4 linked regions of the Tamandua tetradactyla genome follow. The protein of the gene in region 1 purifies or fractionates together with the protein of each later gene. This does not show direct contact. Links are inferred from orthologs where the notes say so. Each region holds a gene or a part of one and is shown on either strand. Other genes may lie near its edges. The genes, in order: DYRK1B, DCAF7, PTGES3 and FAM117B.

The links.
Region 2: the proteins of DYRK1B (region 1) and DCAF7 purify together in Homo sapiens (affinity purification with mass spectrometry; 10 studies listed by BioGRID and IntAct, counting the BioPlex papers as one, with this or other methods). This does not show direct contact. The link is inferred for Tamandua tetradactyla from reciprocal best matches to the Homo sapiens genes DYRK1B and DCAF7.
Region 3: the proteins of DYRK1B (region 1) and PTGES3 purify together in Homo sapiens (affinity purification with mass spectrometry; 3 studies listed by BioGRID and IntAct, with this or other methods). This does not show direct contact. The link is inferred for Tamandua tetradactyla from reciprocal best matches to the Homo sapiens genes DYRK1B and PTGES3.
Region 4: the proteins of DYRK1B (region 1) and FAM117B purify together in Homo sapiens (affinity purification with mass spectrometry; 3 studies listed by BioGRID and IntAct, counting the BioPlex papers as one, with this or other methods). This does not show direct contact. The link is inferred for Tamandua tetradactyla from reciprocal best matches to the Homo sapiens genes DYRK1B and FAM117B.

What each region holds. Positions count from the first base shown.
Region 1 is NC_135342.1:24,182,167-24,189,874, reverse strand, and holds the start of DYRK1B (dual specificity tyrosine-phosphorylation-regulated kinase 1B), read right to left. Parts: upstream 3,016-7,708; 5' UTR 2,685-3,015; coding exon 2,606-2,684; intron 1,285-2,605; coding exon 1,121-1,284; intron 49-1,120; coding exon 1-48. Other genes in the region: FBL (rRNA 2'-O-methyltransferase fibrillarin), read right to left, coding at 3,925-3,949, 4,079-4,224, 5,108-5,220, 6,391-6,523, 7,485-7,655.
Region 2 is NC_135332.1:4,679,029-4,686,113, forward strand, and holds the start of DCAF7 (DDB1- and CUL4-associated factor 7), read left to right. Parts: upstream 1-4,076; 5' UTR 4,077-4,298; coding exon 4,299-4,436; intron 4,437-7,085. UniProt on the Homo sapiens protein: Involved in craniofacial development. Acts upstream of the EDN1 pathway and is required for formation of the upper jaw equivalent, the palatoquadrate. The activity required for EDN1 pathway function differs between the first and second arches.
Region 3 is NC_135333.1:123,760,004-123,767,342, reverse strand, and holds the start of PTGES3 (prostaglandin E synthase 3), read left to right. Parts: upstream 1-4,320; 5' UTR 4,321-4,957; coding exon 4,958-5,013; intron 5,014-7,339. UniProt on the Homo sapiens protein: Cytosolic prostaglandin synthase that catalyzes the oxidoreduction of prostaglandin endoperoxide H2 (PGH2) to prostaglandin E2 (PGE2).
Region 4 is NC_135329.1:177,411,497-177,419,469, forward strand, and holds the start of FAM117B (protein FAM117B), read left to right. Parts: upstream 1-4,954; 5' UTR 4,955-5,170; coding exon 5,171-5,777; intron 5,778-7,973.

The sequences.
Region 1 (7,708 bases):
GGCCAGGGGCAGCCTCCGCGGCAGTAGCCGCACATCAGGCAATACCTGCTGGGCAGGGCGGGGGTGCCTCACTGAGGACAGGCAAGACCCATCATGTCTGACCTCAAGGGGGAGAATCATATGGACATCTGGCTCATTATTACCCCACGCAATCACCTATTTATATGGTCATTCTGTCTACCCAATTAGAAATGAACTCTACAAGGTCTGTCTTGTTCTTACTATGTCTCCAGGGCCTTGAGCAGGGTCTAGTATGTAGCGGATGTTCAACAGAAGCAATGGGTGTTGACTAAATAAGGGAACTCTTTCCCCCTGGGCCTTTAGCCAGCATTCTGACCCACACCTTCACTCCTTTCTGAACTTCAGTGGGAGAGATCATAGGGGAAACCTTCCTAACCTTTTAGCAGGAGAGACAGCCCTGCCCTAGCCCCCACTCCATTCTGGGTGTCCCACCTCTATGCACCCCCATCTCACTTTACCCTTATCCCTTAGGGTGTTGCTTCTCACCTCGCTCCCCCCTCCCTTGCCCCAAGCATCTTTGCCCTGTTCTTTCATTTGAAAGGTCTTGAGAACCTGGATCCTATACCCTGGACCTCCCATTCCATCCTGTTTCAAGATCTACATGTTAGAACCTCCACCATCTCTACCATTGGAGTGCTTTACCCTATACCACTCAGGCCCTGTTGGTCCCAAGACCCTTAGGTCTCAACCCTCCTCTCCATCCACTCCCTCCAGATCCTTCACTCTAACGTTTTCTTAGTAAGCATTATTAGGTGTTTCCTAGGTACCAGGCACTATTCTCGGCATTTTACATGCATTTCATTAACTTCTTTAATCCTCACAACAACTCTGTGAGGTAGGTTTTGATATTGGCTCCATTTCACAGATAAGAAAACGGAAGCATAGAGAACTTAGTAATTTAATCACCATGCCAGGATTTGAACCCAGGCTCTCCAAACCCTGACTGCCAGCACCTTTTCTGTTATCTTCTACAACTCAGGGGCCCTTCACACCCCTGGATACTGTCTGGGGCAGCCACATTCCATCTCTTGGCCCTGAAACCCTTCTATTCCCAGCCTCCCTTGACCCCAGGCAGATGAGGAGCTGGGTGAACGCATACCTGCGTGTGCTCCTGGGGCCCTGGAAAGCCAGAGAAGGGACCATGGCCTGGTGGGACGGCCATGGTGGGCTCAGAGGGCCACAAGGGAGTGAGGCCTGGAGCGGGAGCCCGGCCGGGGGGCGCCTTCTCGCATCCTGCACCTCGGCTGCCACCGCCGCTGAGACCTGAGAGCAGGCAGGGAGGCGGGGGAACAACATGGAACAGGGGGATATGTGGGACAGTGCCAAGCAGGGAACAAATGGATATGACAGAGAAAGCAGGGGCACAGAAGGAGGTGGAAAAGGGTGCAACAGGTGGCAATAAAAAGAGGGAAGAGAAGTGGCAAGCCAGGTGGGGGGGCAAAGCAAAGTACCTCGACAAATGATCATTAAAAAAATGAATGAGGCGGAATAAAGACAGGGATGCATGAAAGGGGATGAAGAAAGAGGCAGGCAAGAGCAGGGGATTTGGGTCATGACAGGAAAGGAGGACAGAAAGACACCAATAATTGGAGGGAGGAAAGAGAAGAAAATGATAGAAACCACAGGCAGCATGGGAAGTAGGGTTCATTCTTTTCTTCCCATTTCTACTCGTGGCTCTCCCCAGGACCCCTCACCTAAGATCCCACCCTCCTGCAGTCTTCCTGAACATCAGGATCTCATCCTCTATCACCAAGACCCCTCTACTTCAAGGCCTACCCTTCCCAACACATCCCCAAATGCAGAGAACCCTAGAAACAAGAGCTCTCTGGAACCTCCCCCAAGCCATAGCAGGGTCTTCTATAGGACCCCTAAACCACATCAGGTTCCTCTGAGGACCACCCAGCCACCCCAAGATTATCTGAGATCCCCTACAGACCAGAGTCCTATTCTATGGCAACCTCATTAACCAGGGCACACCCTTCCTACGGGACCCGCCTCCCACTGTTCTCCCAATTTATCATGCCAGGATTTCTTCCCTTTATCGGGTCCTCCTTCCTCAGAGACCACCCTCTAGGTAGTCTCCCAACCAAAGCCCCATTCCCCCATGCCATATCTGCAGTATTTCTCATGGTACTCCAATGTTCCCCTTCCAAAGCCCATTTCTGATGGAACCAAGGGGGGGGGAGCCTCTTCCCATGGCTTACAGTGATCTTCCTTCTTATTTCCTCTACATTGGATCCTACGTCCACTACCCAACATTTCCCCCACAGCTCCCCTTTATCAGGGTCACTACACAGCCGCGCCCATTCTTAGGAGGCCCACATAGCCAAATTCCTCAAATATCACATAGGGTTCTCTCTCTCAGAACACTGAACCACACTAAAGTCCCTCTCCCAAGGGCTTCCACCCGCACCCACACAACCCCCCTATGTCAGATTCTTTGCTCCTAAGCAAGGTTTTGCCACTCCAGGCCCCACCACTCTTGGAGTTCCACTCCCTGGAAGATCGCCCCTCACCCCCAAAACAACCTATAACCCAGGGCCCTCCCACAACAGGACCGTCTCTCTCAGCCCCCACCCCATACCCGGGTCAGGGCTGGCGCGGAGCCCACTGGGGGCTGGGGCGCGGTGGGGCCCCCAGTGGGGCGGGTGAGCGGCCAGCATGGCGGCAGTGGCGGCAGCGAGGAGGCGGCCGTCTGTCCCCAGCCCGGCCGGCCCGGCAAGCCCCGCGGCGGGGAGGGCAAGCGGGACAGACGGCCCGGTGGGTGAAAACAGCAGCCACCGCCACCGCCACCGCCGGGGGCGGGGAGAGCAGGGAACGAGGGTCAACCCGGGGCACGCGGGGGAAGGGCAAGCAGGTGGACGGGGGAGGGGCGAGCTAACTCTCGCACCACTGGCCCCCCGCCTCTGGGGACCCAGGCGTCCCGCCCCCCACCCTGGAGGCCCGCCCCGGCCTGCGGAGAACCGGCGGGCGGGGCCCGACTGAGCTTGGCAGTCCGCACCCTGCCATGGCAACAACCGTGCAATTGGTCGTCGCTGCCAAGAACTCGGCCAATCATAGTCCAAGATGGCTGTTGCTAGGCAACGACGATGCGGCCGGCGGAGCCAAGCCCAAACAAAGGGCGGGAGCCAGGCCTGGCTACCCCCTCCCAACTTTCCTCCCAAGATCGCTCCCTCGGGCTTGGCCCCTTCCAGGAATCCGACTATGAATAGCCAGGCTGGGCCTGCACCTGCCCGCCCTCCTCACCCCCATGCCGGGGCCTTGTGCTCATTCTCGCTGCGACGCGGCCAGGGCGAATTCCGCCCTCCCCTCCACTCCCTGCGAGCGCATGCCACCCCACTCATCTTCGTTTCGTTACCTGAGAGCGCAGGCAAGGGGACTCAAACTGCTCGGGAGGCCCGAGCTCTGACCTGCCCACGGGCGGAAGGTATCCGGCGGACGCAGCAAGCCAGAGCCACGATTACCCAGTAATGCAACCAGCAAAATGGCGACCACAACAAACCAACCCCTCCACCCCGCCCCAGACTCCGCCCTCGCCCCGGACTCCGCCCTCACCCCGCCTCCCCACCCCCGCCCCTTCACGTGACCCAAGGAAGCAATCCGCGCCTGCGTTTAGTGGGCACTACTACCAATCATGCGCAGCGAGTCACTAACCCCGCCTAGGCGCCGAAAACCGGATTACGGCTGCGCAGGAGACCGCTGAAAACAGAGCATGCGCCATGTAACAAGATGAGACTTTCCACCCCCACTCAAGAGCACCAAGGGCGCATGCGCCAGGTGGACAACAGCGGTGGCAGAGCAATCAGCTGCAGACAACGGTGACAGAAGAGTCTTTTAATAGAAAAACACACGTGCAACAGCAACCACACAATCTCTCGCAATCCTGACAGCGGTGAACTTCACTCAGTTCTTCACTTTAGGAGGTGGCCTGTGAGAGGAAGAGAGGAGATGAGGGGAATCTCCAAGACCATGGGCATTCCCAACAAGAACTGACCCACACAGCTCTGAGTTTAAGGGACAGACATCTATCCTGGTAGATTACTGGCTGCCTGCTCACCTGTACACACCCACAACCACAGCATGGTCTCTTTCGTAAGGCTCTAAGGTCAACTGCTCTTGGGGCTTCATGTTCTCCTGTTGCATCTTTTTCACTTCAGAGGCAAATACGGCCTCGGCGGAGGCTGTAGAGTCAATGCAGTTGGCCTATAGAAGGAGAGATTTTAAGTCCGCAGCAAGGCTTTGACTTCTGGTTTCCCTTTTTTTGTGCTCTTTAAACCAGAAGTATTTGTTTTCTTTGGAAAGTAAGTGACCCTCAGGCTGAAGAGGCCAACAACAATCATTACTGTCTCTTCTATGGCAGGGTTTCAGAAATGTGGGGAAATGCTTCATTAAAAAAGCTTTCAGTTTCGTTTGGATTTGAACTAGGAAGCTTTAATCACAGCCCCTAAATTTTACATATAAAACAGAGTTTGTCTGTTTTTTCTTCTTCCTCTTTTTCTTTACTAAATTGTAATAGTAATAAGCCAGCTAAGAATAACAAAGCAAATGTAGCAAAAGGCTGGCAAATAGTCAATCTGGGTGAAGAGCATACAGGACTAAGTTCTCTGTATTTCAAAGTTTAAAAAATGCATCTAATATTTATCTTATATTTAATTTTATGCCAGAATGTTCTGAACACTTCACATATGTTAATTCTTCACGTATACCCTAGAGATAGAACTAATATTTCCATTCTACAAATGAAGAAACTGAGGTACACAGAGGTTAAGTAACTTGCTCAAACTCACAGAGCAAACTGGGATTTAAGATTCAGTCAGGATCAGTGACCATGCATTTGACCACCACATATTAATCTCTAAATCCAAAGCTTTTAGTTTTGCTGACATTTTGGTATCACGTGTTATATGAATGGAGTTGGAGAACAAATGGTAGGGGGCTGGAGTAGGGACAGAGGCTGGGAGTAGACTGACTGGAGTAAGGAAGATGGTGACCCCCTTGTTTCACCTGGCTGGCTGTCACACCCTGACAGAGAAGAAGCCATCCTGGGACAGTCCCATCCCATCTTACACACCATCAAGTCCCCCACCTTAATGGAAATCACAAAGTGTCCTCCATTACGCAAGAAAGTGTGGGCATTCAGGGCCACGATCCGGGTCTGGTCTGGCTGGGCAACGTCAGCAAAGATCACATCCACCATTGCTAGGGAGAGAGGGGTGGCGTTTAGAAGTCGAGCCCACCAGAGATCTTCCCAGCTCCCCCCCTTGGGCTTGTGCCCCATCATGAGCAGATGCTTGGCAGTTTCCCTGCCTCCAATCCAACTTCCCCCACTGATCCCCCATTCCTCCACAGCATCCCCAACATGGTTGCCACCTACTCTGTGGCCAGCCCTGGTGACACAGAGACAAGTCAAACCCGGACCCTGCCCTCAAGATGCTCCCAGGCCTGGCGGGGGAGACAACCAGGTCATCAAAAAGGCAACTAAAGGTGAGCACTAATAGGCAAGAACGTCTTCGGGGTTGTCAAATGAAAACAAGTCGCAGGACAAATATATATGAGAATACGGGAAAAAAACTCAGAAAGAAAAACAAGTGGAATGACAAAGTAATGTTTAAAGCCAGTGTGAGTAAGGAGTGGGGGTAGGGGAGGAAGGAAACTTTAACAATTGAAAAGATGGTGTAGGGCGGTACAACAGTGGATCAGCAGGCAGAGTTTTCGCCTGCCATGCCAGAGAACCAGGTTTGATTCCCGGTGTCTGCTCATGCGGGGCGGGCATGGGGTGGTATGATGAAAACTGACTTTTTAAAATTCACAACAAGTAGCCATCAAATTGTTTACGTCAATTACCTCTGGGGATGTTTAAAAGGCTTTCCATTTTTACATCATGCTTTTGATTTTTTACAAAACAAAATCATATGTTACATTTCCAATTAGAGAACAAAAAAAAATACAGGCATTAAAATATCTACAATGGCCCCCTGAGGGTCAGAGCCAGCTCAGTTTGTGCCTCCTGGGCTAGGATCATCAGATAATGAACAGCATCTTGGAGGGGGTTCTACACACAAGTCAGGAGCAGTGTAGAAAGTACTGTGTTTTGGGGGGGAGGCTAGAAGCACAGGGGTCTAAGGAAAGATTTCAAAAGAGAGGAGGCTGGCTCTTCAAGGGTGCCAGACACCTGAGACCATGGAATGGGGCCCCCACCTCCATAATCTCAACTGATTCCCCCATCCCTTCTCACTCCTACAGACTCTGAGGGACTGCTCATTCATTCCAATTCAGTCCGATTCAGGGCTTAGATAGGCTCTTCCAGGAAACCTGTTTCTAGGAGTGGCCTATCCCACCCTACCTGGGCCGACGCCCAGGGCCCCTCACCAATGAGCATGCGGTATTTGTGTGGGTGCCGAGCATCTTCAATGACAGGAATTATATTGGTCCTCTTCTTGGCCAGGTTAATGAGGTCACGGCCAGAACGGTGGGAGAACTCAACTGCATAGACCAGACCATCCTAAAACAAGGCAAGTAATAACAGTGATGGTATCAGTGCTCATATGGAGCCACTACTTACTAATGGGCCTACGCTCTGCATGCAGCATTTCTTCCAACCTCCAAATCAAAATCCTATCATTTAACAGCCATTGTTATCAAGTCTACTTCATAGATTAATAAACTGAGGTCCTGGGATGTGAAATTATCAACCAAGGATTATTCAGCAAGCAAGTGAGCCTTCCAAACACCAAGTTACCTAATCTGAGAGCCCAGGCTCTCAATAAAGGCTTAAAAACAGGAAGCCAAGGCACAGAATGATGAAGCACAACAGCTAACAAGCATTTGCCACATGCCAGGTACTGTTCAGAAACACTGTGTAGAAATTAACTTGTCTAATTTTCACAAGTCTGTTTTCCAGGGGGTAAAGTGAGCCCCGGAGAGATAAATAATCTGTCCAAAACGACATCACTGTTAAATGGCTAAGCTGGGATTTGAATCCAAAGAGCCTGGCATCAGAGCCTAGGGTCTGTAACTACTAAATTACACAGCCAGCAATCACATAAACGAGAAAGGGGTCACAAAGGGAGATGTACAGCCTCCCTCTACAGATGGTATAAATTGAAATGCAGGCCCAGAAACTCTGAGATCTCCTGTTCTTTCAAGATAAACCAGAAGCCTGGATTTTGGGGACATGAATTTTTAACAAGGGCAACCAATTCAAATAGTCTGATACCGATACTCCTAGCTCTGGGCCCCTCTAATGCCTATGCCCCTTTCCCTCAGGTCCAGAAACCCAGAAGCGAGCTTTGGAGGGGCCTCCTATCCCCTTCTAGAAGGCAGAGCCCGGTTCTGTGCCACAGTGAATGGAAGCAGACAGGACTCTGACTCGAGGCTGGCAAAGGAAGGCATCTTTTCTTTCCCACTCACCTCACCACCACTCTTACATTTTGTCACAGATTCTCACCCCCACCCCCACTCACCGGTCCTACAATGTCAGAGACGTGGGAGACAGTGGTCCCCGAAGCAGCCCCAAGGTAGAGCACCTTGGCCCCCGGCCTAATGTGGATCTGGTCTACGCCGCCCAGGATTGCTGCTGCCAGTTTTGAGCGGAAGGGGTTCCATGCACGGTACTCAATTTTGTCATCTCCTTCCTAGGCCGGGAGAGATGGGGAAATAAGTGCTGGGCTCTTCTCCAACAGCCCAT
Region 2 (7,085 bases), on another chromosome or scaffold:
TGGGTGCCTTGCAGGCCAGGGCATGGAGTGGTTACAGAGGGTGGGCCCGGAAACGGGCTGGGCATGGGTGCTCCCTTCTGTGACTTAGGGACTTCACTGAGTGCCTGGCTGACAACTGTGCCAGCCTTGCTTTTTTAGGATGGTGAGCCCTATTTAGCTACAGTTCTCCCCATTCTCTGAGTGTCCCAAAGCACAATGCCAAAGACATCATTATGAGGACTGAAGAAGGATGTATGCGTGGCGCCTCGTCATTATTATTATGGGAATCAGGGAGGTGCTTAGGGGTATTGGGGCAGGGGCTTCGGATCCTAGTGGGGAAAGGGTTTTAGTTACCATGCTACACAAAACTGAGATCTGTCCTCAGGACCTGAACTGCTCTCACCAACCCTGACCCTGACTATGGGGTTCTGTCTGGCAGGCTGGAGTTCCAGATGACCTCAGACCTTAGGCGCATCCTACAGCTCCTTCAGCAGCCCCCGCCCCAGGGCCGCACCCACTCCATCCAGGGAGCCCCTGCCTCCATTGACCTGCCATTGTTTCCTGTGACCTCAGCAGCTCAGAGTCCCTGGCCCAGGCAACCCTAGGACGGCCTGCCGCCTGCACAGGTGAGCAGGTGAGGGGATATCTAGGAGCTTGCCTGGAGCTGTTGCATGCCGCCTCCCCCAGCATGGCTTCAGACCCAGGGCCTCGGTGACCCAGAGCAGCTGTGGCTTCTACTGTCCTCTTTGGTTTGAGTCATGACAGGGCAGTGTGGAAGGGTGGTGGCAAAGCCCAGATTGTGACCTCCTGGCTGGGACAAGGGTGGCAGGTGCCTGAGGTTAGGAGGAGCAAGCATAGTTTCTGCCAATTCCCACCCCTGAAGTCAGGGTGGATGAACCTGTAGCCTGGCCTGGGGGCTGCCCCTCTGCATGCCTCCAATCATTTCTTGCCCCTCCTAGACCTCAAGCTGTAGAGACTTGGACAAATGTCCACTGAAGAGCAGGAATTGCTCCTCCAGGATGCATCATCTGCTTGTGGCAGTGGGCAAAGCTCTGGCACCATCCTCGAAACAGGAGAAGCCTGAGGGGCTCCTGTCACCTCTGGCCTCACCTCTGTGTCCCCCAGGGGTTCAGGGGCCCATCTGTGGTCCTCGCTTCCCCTCCCTCCCTGAATCCCTTGGCTCTGTCCCTAAGCAGCTGGCGTTCCAGAGATATGGCTCAGATCCTGGATTTGCAGGAAGTTAGAGCCCCTGAATTCCAAGATAAAAGACATTCTGAAAGGATGAAAGTGGGTGGGGTGAGTGTCAAGGATCCTAGGGGAGGCAGACAGCCCCAAAATGCTGTCTGAAATGGGCCTCTGAAAATCATTCTCCCGGAGTAACTTCAAACTGCTAACTTGCGTGACCCAGGTGGCGTGGGTGAAAAGACTTGGGATTTTTCCAGCCACCCCCAGGGTTCTGTTTAAACAGCACACCTGGTGGAGGAGTGGGTGCCTCTGGTATGGAGTAGCTTAGAGGACTAAGGAGTCAAGGAAGTAAAGAGAAGTTTCTGTTTTCTATGGGATCACTTCTTGGCTCAGACCCAGCCCGACCTCATGGCCCAGGACCCAGCACCCATGGTTGAGGGTCAGTCAGACCTCCTGCTGAAAGCCTTTGACTTGGCTGAAGATGATGGCCTCCTCTTTGGTTGACCTGCCAAGGCACAGAGCTCCAGTCCACCCCTGACAGTTCTGTGATAACCTTGGGGCCCATGTAGGTAGTAGAGTGTCGCAAAGTAAGCAGCAAACACAAGTCTGTATATTTCATGTTGGCTCAGGTGTATAATCAGGTCCTCAATAGCTGTGGTCTTCTCCAAGCCCTTCTCACATGCAGGTGGGAGCTTGTCCTTCACATCCACTGTTGGAAACCTGAAAGGTGGCTCCTCTGGACCCAGGAGCCCCCAGAGCATGGGCTCTTAGCCAGGCCAGGGAGAAGGGAAGCAGGGAGGTGCTGACTTGGTGGCTGTCAGGAATCATGCCAACTGCCATACACACACATAGCCGTCATCCTGTGCTGGCAGCACGCTGCCCACTTTGAAGACTGTTCATCTAAACTTCACAACAACCCTATGGGGTTGGTATTATTACCTCTATTTTAGACATGTGGAATCAAAAGCAGAGTAAGACTAAGAAACTTACCCAAGCATGGTGGGAACTCCCAGGGGGCTGGTCGTGTTCTGTTTCCTGATCTGGATGCTGGTTACATTCTGTTTATGTTGTGAACAAATGTGCACTTCTATGTGTAAATTCTAATTTGGTTAAAAAAAAAAAAAAAGACAAAAAAATTTTTTTTAAGTAAAAAGAATCTTGCCCAACACAGTAGGAGGATATAATTTCAAACCAGTCTCTGGCTTGAGAACCTGTGCAGTTAAGCACTGCACTGAAATAGGCTCTTCTGTCATTTTTGCTCAAGTACCCCCTAAAGGAAATTTGAACATTTGTATCCCTCCCTAATGCATTTTTAAATTGACAGCTGAACTATTTCACTGATAAGTTTAAATCGTTGCAAAAGATGTGATTCCCACTGTCTTGTAAATATTGACACTTTATAAAATTGTTTTGTCCCTTATTTATACTGACTCGTGATCCAGATAGCATAGTGATTTGAAAGCCATCGTTATCCACAAGAACAAGCCCTTCTTTAACATTCCTTTTTCTCTTTTTACTCATAATTCCACTACTTTCCCTGTTTTACTCTACATGCATTTCATGTTCATGTTTCAAAGACTATTATTAATCACCCTACAACATCTGTTTGCAGCACAAACAGGAGTATAAATTGAACGTTTAAAATTAATTTTTTGAAACGTTGCTAAAGCTTTAGGAGTTACATTTATTCTTAGTATAAAGTTGTTCAAAACAAGATAAATATATATTCACATTTTAATAAAAACTAAAAATTTTGAAATGCATTCCTTAAAGAGATTGAAAGGGAATTTCCCCCCCAATTAGGTCATATATCTGTGGATGAATATCATTACTTTTTATTAGAATAGGGTAAGCCTCAGCAACAGTTTTGTTGGTATTTTTCTTTCTTTTTTCCCTAAACTTCAGTGCAGAAAAAAACTTTTTCACATAAATAAGTGGCTAGGACTAGAAGGGGGTTGTTACAGCACTGTTACTCAATTCTTTTAATTTTTTCCGAGTTGTATAATAATCACATTTATCATTAAAAATGGTATTTAATGATATGATCTAACAAGTCAATGCAATCTTCCTTCATTTTTGTTGAAAGCAAAGAATTGGAAACCATTTAAATTATAAAAAGATGTTACCCAGATTTTCATTTTCTCCATTTCAAAGTCACGGCACTGATACATTTCGGGCTCGGTTAGCATTTGCCTCGGGATCCCGTGGGGGGAAAAGATGGGATGGGATGGGATGGGACGGTACCCGAAATGAACCTGGAGCCAAGCTGGTCGTGCAGCTGTCTACTGAAGACCAACGAGAAATCCGAGCATATCTGGAATCGCAGGAGAGCGCGGGAAGGTCTGCAACAGGCGGGTCCGAGGCCCGTCCTATGGGCATGGGAGAATAGCTGTCCGGGTTAAAAGGGGCGTTGGAAGCATGCGAAGCGGGGGTGAGGGAGTGTTCCCGTTCCGTGCGGGTCAGGTTGCCAAGCCGCCGGGCTCAGTGCCGCGAATGCAACAGGCAGAGTTTAAATTTTACTCGACAGCGTGGAAAGGCCGCTTAGAGTAACTGCAACAGCGGGTAGGTCACAGCAGGTCACACAAGAAGTTTCACGCTCAAAGACTTGGCCTAGAACTTGGAGGGCCGCCTGCCTGACAGGCTTGCCTCTCTACCCCACGCCCCATTCACCCGCACTGCGCTGTTATCCCTCTGATTGACATCTTTGTCAGCCAATGACCTTTGTGGCTAACAAAGCGCCTGCCCCCAGGAATTAGGCGGGACGAGAAGTTGGAATGGCACGCATTTACGCCAATAGAAAGGAGGCTTCAAAAGCTACGGTCATAATAACCAATGAAACGAAGGAATGGTTCGAAAGGACGTGTCAGGCAGCCAAAGGCCGGAGCCGTTGTGGTGGTCCCGTGGCTTCCGTTCGGAGGGGGCGGGGCCGCGTCCCAAACGGAAGGTGGTTGTTGTCGGTACCCTAGCAGGTTTGAAAGTGGGGGTCGGGCCCGGCTGCCTTTTCTCTCGTTGCGCCCCCGCCCCGCCTCCCTTCGGACCCTTAAGTCCCAGGCCCGGCTCCCAGCCCTTCTTACTCCTCGCCGGCTGCGGTTAGCTGCCGACCCGGCCCTCACTGCGGCCCTGCCGCCGCCACCATGTCCCTACACGGCAAACGGAAGGAGATCTACAAGTATGAAGCGCCCTGGACCGTCTACGCCATGAACTGGAGCGTGCGGCCCGACAAGCGCTTTCGCCTGGCGCTGGGCAGTTTCGTGGAGGAATACAACAACAAGGTGGGCCGGGCAGGGCTCGGAACCCAGCTGGCGGGGAGCGGGCCCCGGGAGCGCCCTTACGGAACTGGAGCCCAGACCCCAGAATCCCCCTGCGGACTGGCCTTAGCGCCATGGAGCCGTTCCTACGTATCTGGCCCTGTGCTGAGGGTTTCTCTTTTTTTTTTAATTGTGGCAGCACTCGTGTAATCGGAAGTGTCGTTATCCCCATATGACTGATGGGGAAACCGAGGCACAGTGTTGTGACTCGTCAGGCCAGACAGCTGTTTCGTGACGGAAGCAGGTCTCAAACCTGAGTTTACACGAGCTACGCCATTTATCCCTCCCCTCCCCTCCCCTCCCCTCCCCACCGCTCCCCTCCCCTCTCCACCCCTCCCCTCCTGCCGCAGTGCTTCAGTTGGGGGGCGGGGGAGGGAACAGGGAGTGATGGCTGTGAGGGAAATGCCAGCGCTTCGGTTGGTGGTCGTTCTTTCCTGGCCACACTAGATTTCCCTTTAGGGCTTAGGGCTGTTTTTTGCACAGGCTGCCTCACCTCCACCCCCAGGTACTGTTGATGATTCCCAGCCCTTCTGCCGCTAGTGCCATCGGTATTGCCGCCTGATAACCGTCCACTCTAAAGTGATCTCTTTTTGAAAGTATTGGCGCATGGCAACGGACCTTCCGTTGTTTCCTAAGGAAGGATGATGCTTTTTATAATGTTATTTTGGCTCCTTTCATGCGAATACAGATGTGTAACCTTGAGTAGTCTTTTTGGATATCCACCAATTTGAGAAGCCTTCATAGAAGCTTTGGTAGGAGAGGAAGCTTTTACGTTGGCAGTGAAGCATGCATTTAGTTTTGAAAGTTGTTGACTAAGTCGGGGGGGAACTATTCTTTCCTTTACCCCTTGATCTCCTTTTATTATATTTGAGTAAATGTTGTGATTGATAGTGATCAAGAACAACCGAAAGCTTTGACTGGTGATGTTTAAAGCCAATACTCCCGTTTAAACCATGATAACAGACTTAGGAAGAATAAAATTGGACAGTGAAAAGCATGGTGCAGGGAATAAAAAGCCAGATGGTCTAAGGTTGAATCCTGTCGGTACATTGCCCAGCTGGGGGTATTGCACAGTTGAGTTCTATTTTGACCCACAGTGTGCTGTAGGAAAGGGGTTCCTTATTACATGTCAAAAGCCTGTAAAAAGTATTTGAGAATATTGTTTCTTTTGTTTTTCAGGAATATTGTTTCTTTTGTTTTTCAGGATCACGAGTTACTCTAGAGTATGTCTTAATTTTTTTTTTGTAGTACCCTTTGAGAAATTGATTAAAGCAATGGACTTGCATTGCCTACATTGCATGTAAAAACAATTTACGGACAAACCCTAGGAAGTATGCACTGATGTTCAAGTCCACCCATTGCCCACAGACAACAGAGTCCTGCGCAAGACATAGCTTTATCTTCTTTTCTCTGATGCCGTTTATTCCTTATGGCTGATCCATAGTGGACAACAGAGGTTGAAATGGATTTTGGGACCCTGATGTGGAAACCGTGTTAGTAAAATTAAGGCCAGTAGAACTACTGTTTAAGGACGCATGTTGGAAAAAAAAAAAGTAAAATATGTTTTTCAAAGGTCTGGAGTCTTCTCAAACAAGACTTTTCTTACTCTTTGCACATTTTTTCCAGGGTCGGTCTGATAAAAATAGTAGTCCCATTTCTAAGATAGGGGAAACTGAGGCACAGGCTGTCATGGAATCTGTGGAGCAGTTAGTGTCAAACCTCAGTGGCAGAAACTCTGTCCCAAGTTTGTCCTTTCCTTCAGAAACCGTATGGTTCTCCTCCTTTGTACTGAGCACACACGATAGTGAAATGCAAACTAATAATTCTAGTAGTAACAGATTAAATGAATACTTGCGTCTTAATTTGCTTGCATGATGTAGTCAGTGCAGAATCTTAAAACTATTTTCATGTCTCCACCTCTCCATAGGTTATGGCTTTTAACTTTAGTATGTGTGCTATGTACACCTTTGGCAGTCTGCAGTCTATAGATCCTTTCTCAAAAATTTTTTTTTCAAATCCATAAATTTATAGGAGTACCCAAAAAAATAGTTATATTTAACTACAGTTACCAAAACATTTTTTTAAAGTGGTGATGTAGTAATATGTACTACATCAGGTCATTTAACAATAACTAGTATAATTATAACTGTAATTTTGAAATAGCAAAGAGGGTAAACAGCATTTCAAGATAGGCTTAAAACTAATGTGAAGTGAAAAAAATCAGTGACTTCTATTGGTGACAAAGTCACAGATACTGCTAATGCTGTATCTCCCTCCATCCCTTATTGAAGGAAATGCTAAATTTCAGCTGAAGGTTAGTGAAAATGGGAATATGTTTCCAATTGAAGTTCGTGGACATCAGGGGGAACCCCTAGAGGGTGGTAGGCAGTAAATCCCACTTTAAAGCAGTGGTTCAGATACTAAGTTTTTGAGAACCCTTTCCACAAAAGTGGAAGACTTCATAATTTAGAGTAATTAAAAAGTTATTGGTTAGAATTTTCAGATCTTTGGTTCCTGCTTACCACAGATAGTGACTGCTAGCAGAAGACAAAATCAGTGGACACCTCGCAGATTAATATTGATGAAAAAGCTCAGAAATGGCTTTTTTTTTTT
Region 3 (7,339 bases), on another chromosome or scaffold:
CTTCCTACCATATTCAATTGAAAGAACACTGCGACGTATTTACTTACCCATAGTTATCCGAGAACTGCAATACATTTCATGGAAACACAAAATTAAAAGAAAACTTCTCTATTACCTGATTTATTCTGATGTCAGAGATTCTTGCTAATTTACATAGATTTGGCATATCATCACTTTTTATAGTCTTTTTTTTTTATGACTTGAACTACAGGTATATAAACTATAGGGTGATATTGGGGACAGCCCACTTTTAGGTTTCAACATATTTCATTTTTAAAAGTATATGAGCTTTTTAGAGCCTTTTCCTTCCCCTAGGGTTGTCCATGCTTATACCAGCCCACAATCAGAAAGCCTGGTAGCACCAAATCAAAACTTATGTGAAAAAGCTTGACACAAGACACAGTAGTTTTGTTTGGGTGCATAGGCCAGGAATTGAACAAGACACAGTAGTTTTTAACCCTTTCCATTACTACCAAACCAGACTGATAGGTATGCTTCTAAACTCTGGGCAGAGAATCCAGAAGCTATCTGCGATGATTTTATTTAGCTAGGTCATTGTCACATCAGGTTCATTTGTTAACTTGGTCAGGTGGTGGTACCCGATTGTCTGGTCAGGCAAGTGCTGACCTGTCTGTTGCTATGAGGACATTTCATGGACTTAAATCATGATCATGTTGGCTGCATCCACAGCTGATTACATTAGCTAAGGGAGCGTCTTCTGTGATGAGTGACATTTAATTTAATCACCAGAAGGCTTTTAAGGATTCAGAAGAGACACTCTACCTGCTTCAGCCAGGGACCTTCTGCCATGCACTTCGTCCACACCCTTCATCAAGTTGCCAGCTTCACAGCCTGCCCTGCAGACTATGAACTCTTCCATTACCACAGTTGTCCAGCCAACGTCTCCTGAAAGTTCGTTGACGACTGTCATCGTAGTTGCCAGCTTGCAGCTTACCCTACAGACCTTGGATCTTTACATTCCCAAGGTTGCCCAGGCAGCCTCTCCTGAGAGTTCGCTGAGGACCTTCATCAGAGTTGCCAGCTTATAGCCCTACAGACCTTGGATTCTACATTCCCAAGGCTATGTGAAACACTTTTATCAATTTCATATCTACAGATATCTCCTACTGATTCTGTTTCTCTACAGAACCCTAGCTAATACAGTCATGATGTCTCCTTTAAGCTTCATGGCCAATTTCCTTTTTCCTATATCCAAAAGAGATTCTTACCACTTTACCCCTTTCCCCTTTATATGACATATATAGATAACTTCCAAGGTCTTATTAGAAAATTCATACAACTAGACTGTGTTCATTATCTGATTTAATTTTTAAAATGTTTAATTGCTCATGTCAACATACAAAATTCTCTTTTGCTACTAGTGACTCTGGGCACATATTTAAATTCAGTTCTTAGAAAAATATCACAGAGAACTTGCTATGATAATTGACAAAATGTCTCTGCAATCCTTTGGCATATGTATTTTTTTAACTGACCTGACAATTTCTTCTCTTAGGAGACTGTTAGGATTAAATTTATGAGGTGGCATCTACTACTCACCACGTATTTTCTAGTTTCTGTTAATCCAGGTTGCAGATTTATTAAACACCCTGACACTGTAACTATACATGTTTGAATCTACATTTTGCCCCATACTAGAAATAGAACTATTAGTGAATTTGAAAATGAACCTGGTATAACTCAGGTCCCCACCTACTAATGGTTGGGATAACATCTAAGGGCTTGAATAAGCCTAATTACAAAGTATTTGTGAAACTTCTGGTAGAAAAGCTATTTCCAGAAGAACACTAAAATAAAACCCCTTGAAATATGTTTAGTGAGGAATAACTAAGGAAGTAAATAAACTAATGGGGGAGGGGAATAGCTGTAAATGAACCATGAATTAGGATACAAAAAAAAAAAAGGTAGTTTTCCCCGTAGCACTCTCTACCCTGTCTTTTGACAAGGGAAATTGCCAGAAATTTGGGTTGGAGTCTTCTATCTCTAATTCAGTTCTTTCATTTTCAGTTCATCTTATACTTTGTTACCAATTAATCTTTACAAATCTAGGACACAAGAGTGCTGCTCCCCGACTCAAAGAAACTTTAATAGCTTCCAAATGTGAGAGAGACAAGTTGCAATTATCCCGATATTCAGCATCACCATTATTTGGTTCTGACTATCTTCTTAACCATATCCTGAACTATTCCCTTACATTCTCAACTACCTAGGTCAGGGTTCTGCAAATTACAACCTGTACACGAAATCTAACACATTCACCAGATTTTTTATGTGCAGAATCTTAGTCTGTGAGCTAACAATGGTGTTTACATTTTTAATTGGTTGAAAAAAATTAAAATATCTTCTGATGTGAAAATTATAAGAAATTCAAATTTCAGTACCTTTAAATACTTTTATTGGAACATAACCATCCTTGTTTGTTTACATATTGTCTGTTTGTCTCATGCTGTAATAGCAGAGTTCAGAAGGTGCAACAAAAACAGCCAGCATGATTTCATCTGGCCATTTACAGAAAAAGTTTGCTGACCACTGACTTAGAAATACTTCTGTTTCTGTCTCTTCACCAATATTCCTGCCTGAATATACTAATCCGACTTATTCCTGCTGTCACCTCTATGAGGCTGTCAAAATAGAATTTTCAAAAAACTAAAAAACACGATTCTCTCACAAACATATAATTAACATAAACCAAATATCTCACTCACGAATGGAACCAGTAAAATGGCAAATAACATTTGGTTATTCACAGGCATAAAAATGAAAGAATTAGAATAAGATTGCTGGGTCAAACAAACCCGCTTAGTGTCCTTCAGAGCAATAAAACTGTAACTTTGGGATTAGTCTTCCAATAAAAAATCTACAAGTTAGTATGTAACTTCACGATGTCTGAGTTCTAATTATATAATAAATAGCAAAGACAAACATAGGTTCGTTCTCCTGTCTCCTGATAGACAGGTTAAACAATGTCCCAGTGTAAACTGAAAGGCTATCCCTCGGTGCAATGCCTTATTTCCAGGTTCTGGGTAATTTTTCTGAACAAAACCTACCCTCATTCTTCCAGCCCAAATAGACCTCTCCTCCTTTCAAGCTCCCATACTTTTTGTATTTCCATTATGGTATTCAATAATCATTATTTTGTCTTTCGAACAGGCAGCAGGCCCCTGAATCAGAGTAACAGCTGGGATTTAATCGCCCTTTAAAATGAAACTAGATAGGGTTCTATGTCCACAGTTCATGATATCTATCTTGCACAAATATAGACATCAAATATCTTATTGCTGAATATGAAACCCCCAAACACTCCCTCTGGACATCTTACAGCACTTTTCTTAAAACTCCTTTGGGTGCTCAGTAGCGGTGTATCGCTTTTGTTTCCCCCTCATTCTACCGTTTAAGTGTCCTCCTAGTGGGCAGGGCCCATTCTGATCTCTTGGTTAGCCCCCATTAGAGCACAACCCAGTGCCTGGCACAAAGCAGTTGCCCAAGAGATAACGGTTGAAGCAGACTGAAAGCCTCCCACCCCAAATTCACACACACACTGATGTGTCTGAAGTCTCTCCATTCTCTGACACCTGGCTAAACTCTCCCCTCAAACAACCTGTCTGGCCTATTAGTATCTCAAGAATAACCAATCCCCCCTTTCACGTCACAAGCCTCCAGAAAAATCTTCGTCCCTCGGCCTCAGCTTTCCTTCCACTATCCAACACAGCCGTTTCTCAGGGGAAGACGCCCAAGGAACAACGCCGAGTGCCTATAAACCCAACGGTTTTCTACCGGAGCGCGGAACAAGAGGCGGGAAGAAGCCGGCGCAGGCCGGAAAAGGGCGAAGGGCGGCGCCAGCCTCGGGAAAGATCGCGAAGGAGCTGGGAAGCTCCGCCCTTTCCGTAGATATCTCTAGAAAGCCGCGCGGGAGCCCGAAAACAAGGACTGCGCACGCGCGGCGGCAGGGCCCGGGCATTTTGCTGCGTCACCAGCCGCCGCCTGGCCTCACCACCCCTCGTTCTCACGCACGCACGTTCGTTCTCCGTCCTCGCGCCCCTTTTCTTACGCTTTCCTCTTCTCTCCGAGCCGCGGAGCCGCTCTCTCTGCGCGGTGCATTCTGGGGACCCAGGCCGAGCCCGCCGCCTGTGCCGTCGCCTGAGGGAAGCGTGAAGAGGCCACGACCGGGGAGAAAGCGCCGGAGTCGCGGCCGGAGAGGAGTCGACTCCCAGCAACTGCCGCCGGAGAGGCCCGCCCCCTGACCCGTTCACAATGTGAGTGCGCTATCCCATCGTGGGGAAGTCGGCCTTAGGGAGACCGAGGCCGCTCTGGGGACTCCTGGGCTGTGGGGAAACCTTGCCCTCCCCACCCCTCCCCCCGCCTTCGGCGCTCTCCGTTTTCTCTTTTCACTGGTGGCGGTTGTTACTATCTGGTGGTGGGAGGTCTGTGGTCTTGTTCGGTTACCGTTGGTGGACGGAGGACATTTTTCCTCCACATACCCGCTTCCCTCACCTCTAAACTGTCCCTCGTTTTCCCCATGCCGGAAATCCCGCTTTTCCCCCTTTGGTGGTCTGAGTTATGCGTAACCGTTCATAACTCGTCCTAACTTAGCTTTAGGCCTTAGGCCTTAATCTCCTTTGAGCCTTTTGCCATGCGGGCGCCTTGGAGGCATTTGACCCTCGTGGATTGCCACTTCGGTTCTCCGTCAGTCTGGTTCTGCCACTCTGTGTTGGGACCAGGCCCTGGGCCAAGTGCACCTGTGGTGGGTGCCACCAGAAGACTGATGGTGCAAGATCCTAGAGCCTTACGCGGCCCAAGGCCGTGAGCGACAGTTACTGCTAGGCAACGAGAGGGAGGCCATGCCGTCACCACAACTTTTTTTTTTTACCCTCTGAAGTGCCTTGATTTCTTGAGTATAGGTCCTTTCAGGCCTCTAAACTCAAGTATCTTGAAGGAAATGAAGGCTGCTAAAGCTCAGTCGTGTCCTGGCACCGAGGAGTTACCACTGAACAGGTAGTTTTGCACGTGTCGAACCTAGAGATACTTGTGGACATTGTGTTCCATATTAAACTGTAGGTGAGGTATCATTCATCTTAATTTAGAATAAAATAGGTACATAACTGTCTTGTGGTCTTAAGGTGTTCAAATTCTGTTTATGAGGAGGATTCTGTTGCCATCTTTTTCTTTTATGGTAAAGGAAAACTTTGGTGATCTTAACGTAATAAAAGCTCTTGACCTTTCCACCTTAAATCTATGTAAAATAGGTTTTGCTTATCCCTTTGAAATTTCTAAATAATTGTCAATATGGACTGTAGAGTACTAGTAGTGCTAAAGTTAATGTGGACTTTTTTTTTCTATCTTAATTGGATTCAGGGGGATATATTAACTGCTCAAAATGTTTATGTAATTGACAGCTGTAGGCTTTATATTCTTGTTGAAATCGTCCCATTACTCCCTTTTAAGTTTCCCCATTTGATAGTTGTTAGGTAAAGAGATTTTTTCATTTAATACTTTGAAAGTCTCTACTCTGAAAGTAGAAGAAAAAATGAATTGTCAGATAAAGCAGTACCAACTTTTAATGTGTATTAGAGCAATGTAGAGTATTAATATAGGGGAAGTACCATGTTTGAAATAGAAACACTTTTCGGAGGTCACTTTTTGGAGGTTAAAATAGGTAAGAAATGTTAAACTATGTAAAGGGTAAAATTGGGATGCCAAGTGTAGCAATCAGTATTCCAAAAAGCAGTCTGACTATATTTAAAGAATGCTGCCTTTAAAGTGAATTTTCTGTGAAGAAACCAGATAAATCTCATCCTCTTTTAAAATGTTAGACATGTGCTGTCTTGTAAATTCTTCAGGGGATCTTAAGAAAATCTGAGTCATTTATTTGAGTTGGAGAAGACTTTTAATGGATCATTTAGTCCTAGGAAAAATTGGCTGATAAGGGTTCCTCTTGGTGATGTCTATTTAAAACATTGTTTTAATGCTGCTTTTCTGTTGATTTGTTTTTTGTGCTGGATGTCTTGAAGGTTTGGGGTTGTGTTTTTTTCAAGTTTGGAAACTCTGTTAGTGATTTCTTAGTTAAATTTGTCTAGTAGCCTACATAGAAGTTTCCATCTCTCTCCTACCTTGGAGAAGGCTGGGATCTTAAGACCTCCTTACCCATTTAAAACCTCCCCAAAGCTAAACTTGCGCTGTGGTACTTTGCATTCTCTTTTAAATTAGCTATTATAGTTGGTTGCTATTGGATCCTAACAAGAGAAGAAAGTAAAATATTTTATTTAGTTTTATTTGAGGTATTTGAAGGGTCATTCTTTCTGTGCCTTGTTGAAATCATCCCATTAATTTATTATTTAAATTAATAAATTTTTGGAAACATAAAATGACCATCTTGAACATTGATTTAAAATCTTACTTTGCTGTTCCTTAGCTTTGTAGGTTTGAATCTCCAAAGATATCAAACCTCCAAAGCAAATTGTCATAGTGAGCATATGGTTTACCACTAATTTCTATTTAAAATGAGTAATTGGTAAGTTAGGGAAGATGATAGCCTTTGTTCAGTGTTGATTTTCTAACCACTGTAACCTGGCAGCTGAATTTCCTTTTTTTTTATTATGCTCAGTTAGCCTTTAACTAGAAGGCATTAGAAATCACTTGAGTTTAGGCTAGTATTATATTCGAAATTTAGAGTTTCCTATTAAATTATTCTCGGTTTAAAAATTCTGAGGCTATATCATTTTGGGGTCTTATGTGGTTAATGATTGTGCCCTTCAGGGATGGGAGGTGCTTTTTTTATTGAGATATATTTACAAACCATCTGAAGTATACAATTACTGGCTCACAGTATCATCACATAGTTGTGCATACTAGAACATTCTCATTACTTCAGAAAAAAAATAAAAAGAAAACCCAAACCGTCCCATATTCCTTATTCACCCCTATTGATCCTTAGTTTTTGATATAGTATATTTGTTATTGTTGGTGAAAGAATATTAAACCATTACTATTAACTGTAGTCATAGTTTTCAGTAGGTACGTATTTTCCCATAAATCTCCTCTGTTAGCTCTTTATAATAATGTCATACATTTGTTCTAGTCCATGAAAGAATGGTTTTGTATTTGTACAGTTAATCACTGGCGTTGTCCACCACAGGATTCAGTGTGTTAAACATTCCCATGTTTTAACCTCCAGCTTTCCTTCTGGTGACATTTGGGAGATGCTTTTTTAATACCAGTTAGAATCAACTTAGCTCTTAAAAAACTTCAGATCATATTTTATCTGAGTTCTTAAATTGAGAATTGTTGCATCTGGTGTATTTTGCTGTTGAAATGCAGTGTT
Region 4 (7,973 bases), on another chromosome or scaffold:
TCCTCATAATGAGAGTGTGGGGTATTTGGGAAAATTAAATAAGCTGGAGCCTAGAGAAGAAGAAGTGGCAGGGGTGTGTCTGTGGAAGGTATGATAAGTCATATGGTTTGGACTTTTGTCCTAAGAGAAATGGAAAGCTTGAAGCAGTTAAGTGATAAGGTTTGTGTTTTTAAAAGACAACTAGAGATGTTGGGGGAGTGGGTTACGGGTGTGGAGTGGGGAGTCTGAAGAGGTGGAGTGAGGCAGAGATGATCTTGGGAGACTGGTTGGGTGTTAAGAGAGCAGGCCAGAGATGATAGCAGCTTGGCTAGAGGAGATGATAGGTCTGCAGAGCAGTGATGGATTCACAGGAAATTTAGGAATTAGAGTAGAGAGTAGATAAATTATGGTAATCCAATGGGCTTGGTGTGAGGAGGGAAGAGACAGACTTCCAGGGTTTTGATTTAGACCACCAAGTTGGTGGTGCCATTTACTGAGATGAAGAAAAACTGAAAGAGGAGCCAGATGGTGGTAGTGGGTGGGTGGTGAGAAGACAGTGAATTCAATTGTGGACAAGGTTTGAGGCACCTGTGAGATATACAAGAGACTAAGCAGGCAGTTGTATAGTTGTCAGTGTGATGATCAGTAGAATTTGACACTCATAAATGAAGCTATCAGAATAGGGAGTGAGTGGAGAGAGACAGGCTTCGCTAGGGTCCTGAGGTACTACCACCATTTATGGGTCAGACTGAGAAGAAGCCAGCAAAAGTGACGGAGGAGTAGTTAGAGATGGAATAGGAACATCTGGGAATGTGTGGTGCTATGTAAAGTCTTAAAGAAATGGTTTTATATGAAAGTCTCAGTGAAGTAGCAGTCACATTTTAAATAGAGAACAATATAAATTCTGATAATTTCCCCCTTTTATTAGGAAACCATGTATCAACATTTCTTGGAAAATAACCCCCCAAAATTTTACTTAAAAATGAATATATTCTTTTCATTTCAGTATTTTACCTTCCAATATTTGTTTATAGCTTCTAAGTGTTTTTGCATGTCACTGTTTTAGTTTGCTAAAGCTGCCAGAATCCAACATGCCAGAAATGGATTGGCTTTTAATAAAGGGATTTATATAATTACAAATTTATAGTTCTTCAGAGGAAAGGCAGCTAACTTTCATCTGAGTTTCGATCACATGGGAAGGCACACAGTGATGTCTACTAGCCTTACCAGTTCGTCTGGCTTCTGGGTTCCAATGGCTTTCCCGGGGATGATTCCTTTCTGTATCTCCAAACATCTGGGCTGAGTTGGGAGTGCTTAGTTGAGGTATGCTGAACTGAGCTCTCCTCTGACCTCTTTTAAACCTTCAGCTAATCAAACTAAACCTCACTCATTGTGGAAGGTACTTTCCCCAGCTGACTGCAAATGTAATCAGCCATAGACGAATTTCACACGCTGAGGATTTAGGGCTAGAGAAACAGAACAACAGGGCATCATCACTTGGCCAAGTTTATACCTGAACCTAACTACCAAGTCACATTTATAATAGATACATAATTTTGATTTTTCTTGTTTAAAAGTGAAAGTAATTTATGATTTCATGATTATCATTTTAGCAGTGATATAATGTTCCATGCAGTACTATTTTAGAAATTTTTTGATGGATATGCCTGGTTCTATTAAAACTACAGAAGGAGATTAAAAGCTATAGGAAGGTAAACTTTTTTGCAGAACCTATCATCCTTTTACATAACAATATGATTTTAAAGAGTTAAAAAAGCACATGAGCAAATTAGCCTACCAATAATATTGCCTTTGGGAATTTAAATATAGACAAACCAATTCCAATACATTGCTTCTGGTCTACAACTTCTTCATAGGTCACATTTCAACCTTGGAAAGAAAATGGAAAATTTGCATTATATCCTAAGAAAAGCAGAATTAAATTAGAGGAAGACATTTATTTCGTTGATCCTTGAATTACAAGGACTCTCTTCATAGATAACCTACCAAACTGAAGACTAATTCATCATCTTATTGTACATTATTTGCTTTGAATTTTTAACAACAGTTGAAGTCAAGGGTAAATATTAATGATGCTTTTATACATTGCTATCGGATTTTCAAAAGAGATGAGTTCTAAGATATACAAGTCATTTTTTTAAAGCATTCTTTGATGGTTTCATACTTTCAAAGCTTTTATTTGCAAGTCTTCACAAACATCCTTCAGTAAAAGGGGGGCTGAAATGGTTAATATGTGCTTCAGGTGCAGTGCTCTCATTTGTTTAAAGTTAAGCCCTAACCGACTAGGGAGGTAAGCTGTCAAGATGAAAAAGAGGTATATTTTGGAGATGAACCATTTGAGTTTCTGCAGGAAACATGGCTAAAAGCAAAAGGTGAACTGGCTCCACAAGAACTCATAATTGAGCCAAGCACATTTAACTCTTCACCTCAATGAACTTTTTCTGCTAAAATAAGTTCTTTAGGTTAGAAGACCTAAAAGTCTCTGGATATCAACAAATAAGTCTCTAGTTTGGCAACACCAAAAGCAGTTACGTGAGCTAGGTCACCAGGACTACAAGACTTCCTTCAGTTTAATTCAGTAAATACGTATTGAGATCTTACTTTCTGCAGGGGAAAGTGTAAGATACAGTTTCCATGACACCCTATTTAAAATCTTATCTTTCCTCCTACCCATTGTTTTAAAAGCAGATTTAGCTCTCTGCACGGATCTTGTCCGCAGTTTCCTGCATGTGGTCTGCCAAGTAAGAAGCTTTTTTTTCCTTCATTCTAGCTTGAGGGGAACAGGTAGTCATGTCAGGTGTATTTAGAGCACTAGCCACTTAAGGCAGGTTCCTAGACTAAGGCTTGGGGCTCTCCCTGTGGTGGGGGAGAAGGGAGGATAAAGGGGAATGGCTGGTAAGGAAAGATGTGGGCCTCTGAATCACATCTGAAAGTTTTGAGTACTGTTCCAGTTTGCTAGCTGCTGGAATGCAATATACCAGAAACAGAATGGCTTTAAAAAAGAGGAATTTAATAAGTTGCTAGTTTACAGTTCTAAGGCCAAGAAAATGTCCCAGTTAAAACAAGTCTATAGAAATGTCCAATCTAAGGCATCCAGGGAAAGACACCCTGGTTCAAGAAGGCCGATGAAGTTCAGGGTTTCTCTCTCCAGTGGAAGGGCACATGGCGAACACAGTCAGGGTTCCTCTCTCATCCGGAAGGGCACATGGGAAACACAGTGTCATCTGCTAGCTTCCTCTCCTGGCTTCCTGTTTCTTGAAGCTACCTGGGAGGCATTTTCCTTCTTCATCTCCAAAAGTCGCTGGCTGGTGGACTGTGCTTCTCTTGGCTAGGTTGTTCTGCTCTGCTCTCTCTGAATTGCTCTCATTCTCCAAAATGTTTCCTCTTTTATAGGACTTCAGAAACTAATCAAGACCCACCCAAATGGGTGGAGACACACCTCCATCTAATCTAATTTATCAACCACTCTTGATTAAATCACATCTCCAGGGAGATGATCTAATTACAGTTTCAAACATACAATATTGAATTGGGATTAGAAGAAATGGCTGCCTTTACAAAATGGGATTAGGATTAAAACATGGCTTTTCTAGGGTACATACATCATTTCAAACCAGCACAAGCACCATCTACACACCCTATTTTCATTTGACCCTTCATTAATAATCATAATTGTAAGAAGGAAATGGCATTAATTGCATTCTACAGATAAGGAAACTGGCTCACGATCTGCTCAAGGAGTAGTAAGAAGTGGATATGGGATCTGCATCTCCTTTCTAGGGTTGTAAAGCCTTTCCACCACGGTGCAAAGGGATCCAGAATAATTTTCAAGTCCAGACTGAGTCATATTGTGTTCTCCTCTACCACATTTTTACAAGGTGAAATCTATCTAGAATGTTTATCTAATAAAATATTTAAGGGAAAAGAGGCCCCAGAAAGACAATCTGCAGTTGGGGAAGTGAGTGGGTGAGGTGCAGTCCCATTATTCTTTCTGTCTTAATGAGGAGTTCTTTAGGTCACTTTAGAACTAGTGTTACTGCCTGCCTTTCGGAGTGCTTGCCCATACTACAAAGACCTATTTTCTTGACTAGATAAACACATGGGTGGATGGCCCACTTCTATCTCAGATAATCATTGTGAAGATAAAATAGGACCCTTTGCAGACTATAGCACTTTACATACGTAGCAGACCTCTTTCCAAGATGGCAGGGAACTGACACAGCTGATTAAATTCTTGATTACTTGAGATGTAACAGGGTAGAAATGGCATTTGGTAACTGGACGCCATAGATACAGTCTGAAATCGCATTCTAACCAGTAATTTGAACTCGAGATATGGTTCTTTGTAGGGCAAAAAAAAAAAATAAAAGTTTGTGTGTGTGTGTGTAAAATGCCAGCAATATAAATTAAATTTCATCTTCCTTTGAGCCCTGTCCATACGTTTATGGAATTACTACAGAGCAAATACATCAGGAAAAAAGGCCAGAGATGCGCGTATACGGCCCCTGCCAATTAATACTGTGGTAAAGAAATGAGTTATGCGGCAACGACTTCAGACTATCTATCCCTGGGGACCGCTCAGGTTCTAGACATTCATTTTGGCAACATTCCAGAGTCTGAGTCCCCAGGGCTCCCCCCAGTGGGAAGGGAAAGACGCGCGTGGCAAGGCGCGAGTACGTGTACACTCACATGTACACATACTCACGCGCGCGTACGCTACACTTACACACGGTGTGTGTTCTTCACTCCCCCCCCCCCGGGGGGCGGGCCTCTTTCTCTTTAAAGAGCAGACGGTGTTCAAGCAAACCCGAGCTCTCTAAGGCCCCGAGGGCCCAGGACCCAAGCCGCTGTCAGCCAATAGGCGCGGTCGAGTGGCTCGAGCGCGGCTGACGCTACGCCAATGGGAGGCTGCGGGGGGCGGGGGCAGCGGAGGAGACACTATTGTCGATGAGGAGGAGCGGCGGCGGCTGCTGCTGCACCACCTCGTTGCTGCCGGCCGCGGCTCCGGCACCCCCCGTATCCCCCGCACCCCGGATTCCAGCTTCGTCACCCCGTCGCAGGGGCCTTCCCTTCGGTCCTCATCCTCGAGAATTCTCTCCCCTGCAACACCACTACAACAACTACCTCCCCACCCCCCCCCGTCTCGCCCAGTCACCAGGGAGGGGGGACCATGTCCCAGCGGGTGAGGCGCAATGGGTCCCCCACGCCAGCCGGCTCCCTCGGGAGCGGCGCGGGCTCCACGGCCGGGGGAGCCGGGAGCCGCCTGCAGCCCATGAGGGCGACGGTTCCGTTCCAGCTGAAACAGCAGCAGCAGCAACATGGCAGCCCCACGCGGAACAACGGCGGCGGCAGCGGCGGCAACAACAACGGTGGCTGCTATGGTGGCGCCTCAGGCCCTTCAAGCAGCGGCGGCGGTGGGGGCCCACGCACCGCTTCGCGGAGCACAAGTCCCACGCGCGGTACCGGGAGCGCAGCGGCTCGCACCAGCCCCACGGTGGCCACACAGACGGGCGCATCCGCGACTTCCACACGGGGCACCAGCCCCACGCGCAGCGCCGCACCCGGGGCTCGCGGGAGCCCTCCTCGGCCGCAGCCGCCACCGCCGCCGACGCTACTGGGCACCGTATCGTCGCCTTCCTCGTCGCCCACCCACCTGTGGACCGGTGAGGTGAGCGTGGCCCCACCCCCAGCCCGCGTCCGCCACCGGAGGAAGTCCCCGGAGCAGAGCCGAAGCTCCCCGGAGAGGAGGAGCCCGAGCGCTCCGGTTTGCAAAGCAGGTACGTGCTTGGGGCCGCGCGACGAGGGGGAGCGGTCGGCGGGAAGGGGTCCCGGATGCCCCGGGCTTCCGCGCCGGGACTGCGGCGCTGCCGCTGTGCCCGTACGGCCGGGGGCGGGGCCGGGGGCGGGATGTACGGCCGGGTGGTGCGGCCCCGCCTCCCTCAGGGTCCGCGTGGTGCCAGGTAGCTGTGCGCGGCGGCCCTAGCTCATCGCAGTCGGTTCCGCGCTGCGTCCCCAGCAGTGGAGCTGCTGCCGCGTACCTTGTACTTGGCTGGATATGTGTTAATTATAAACCTGAGATTCTGTCGGTCTTGTCTGCCCTCTGGTTACTGCTTACTCTTCCTTCCTTTTTCTCTACCGCATGTTGGGGGTGGGTTAGGAGTGGCTTGTTTTTTGTTTTGGTTAGTGTTTGTATAGCACATATCTGCTGCTTCGTGTTTCTTTTTCATAAAACGGTTTCACGTATGGAGGGCTGAATGCATTAGTGTGGCAGATTGGGAGCAAGGAACCGAGGTGAGAGAGAGAACGTTTTAGCATTTCTTAAGACTCGGTAAATGCAAGAAGTGAGAAGGAAGTTAAGCAACATTCCTTTGGAAGGTTTGTGGGTTTTGTTTGGGGTTTCGTAGTATATTTGACATATTTATTTTGTGTGCTCAGGATTTAAAACCATTTATCCGAATTTATATTTAAAAAAACATTCCGAAGTTTGTTTCCTTGTGTGATTATTTTTAGGGACCTAAACGTTGTTTTTTTGTACTTTTTGTATGTTTCTCTGTGTGCCTGGGGGTTTTCTTGGGAAAGGTCCAGAATGGAGCTGTTGGGTTCCAATGGAGTTATTCATAAAGAAGAGTATCTCAAAAGAGAATTTAATAGACTGTGGGAGGTGGAAAGGGTTAAAAGTTATCATCTGGTTGCCTTCCTATCAGAATCTAATTAAAAAGAGAGAAATGGGTAGATTTTTAGTTATGATTTAACACACCTTGCCTTTTTCTGTCTTGGAAATTCCTGTTAGAATCTTCCAAGTCGAATGGCTAGGAAGTTCAGGAAACTTAGTACAGTACTTTCTGACTAAATAAATTGGACAAGTTGTTTCAGGAGTTTCAGAAATGGAAGGAGTAGGCCGTCTGTCTTACTATTTTATAAAGATGTTAGACATCAAATCCTTTTTTTTTGTGCTAAGAACTAGCCCTGAGAATGATCAATAGCGTTTTCTAATTAGAATAAGAGATATTGTCTTTAATCTTTTCAGAATGCAAAATATGTTTTTAATTTATGAAAAGCCCTAGAACCTCTCCTCCCCATAATGCTACCTAGCTATTGCTTATTGAGCTCCTACATGGCAGGTGATTTTCATAAAAGATCTCTATCTGGTAATAGCCTTTAGAGAGGTGAAGTAACAAGTGACAGAGTTGAGATTTGAATTCTATTCTGTGGTACTCCGAAGACCAACTATTTTACATTACATAAAAGGGGGGAGAGTTTTATGCTATATAGGATTGACTCTGGGAATTGTATTGTACACCAGAACTACATGTGCTTAGTTTTTTTTTTTTTTTTTTTACATGGGCAGGCACCGGGAATTGAACCCAGGTCCTTGGGCATGGCAGGCAAGCACTCTTACCTGCTGAGCCACCGTGGTCCACCCTGTGCTTAGTTTTTTATGTTGGTTTTTTTTTAAGGGAATTTTTTTTTATTGTGAAAAATAACATATATACAAAAAAGTAATAAATTTCAAAGCACCCCACAGTGGTTAGTTGAGGAACAGATTTCAGAATTCGGTGTGGATTATAATTCCACAATTTTAGATTTTTACTTCTAGCTGCTCCAAGACACTGGAGACTGAAAGAAATATCAGTCTAATGATTCAGCAGTCATACTCATTTGTTAAGTCCCATCCTCTCTGTTAAAACTCCACCTTCTCCTTTGATCTTTCTCCCAATCTTTAGGGGTATTTGGGCTATGCCCATTCTAACTTTTTCGTGTAGGAAAGGGCTATTATTAATACGGGATAGGGGGATGGAACTAGTTGATGTTTGGGAGGCTGGCCCCTGTGGGTTTCAAGACTTTACTAGCTTAGAAACCCATCTGGAGGTTGTAGGTTTCTGGAAAGTAATCACAGTACATGGAACCTTTGTAGATCTCAGATAAAGCCCTAGGTGTTCTTTAGAGTTGGCAGGAATGGTTTTAGTTGGGGT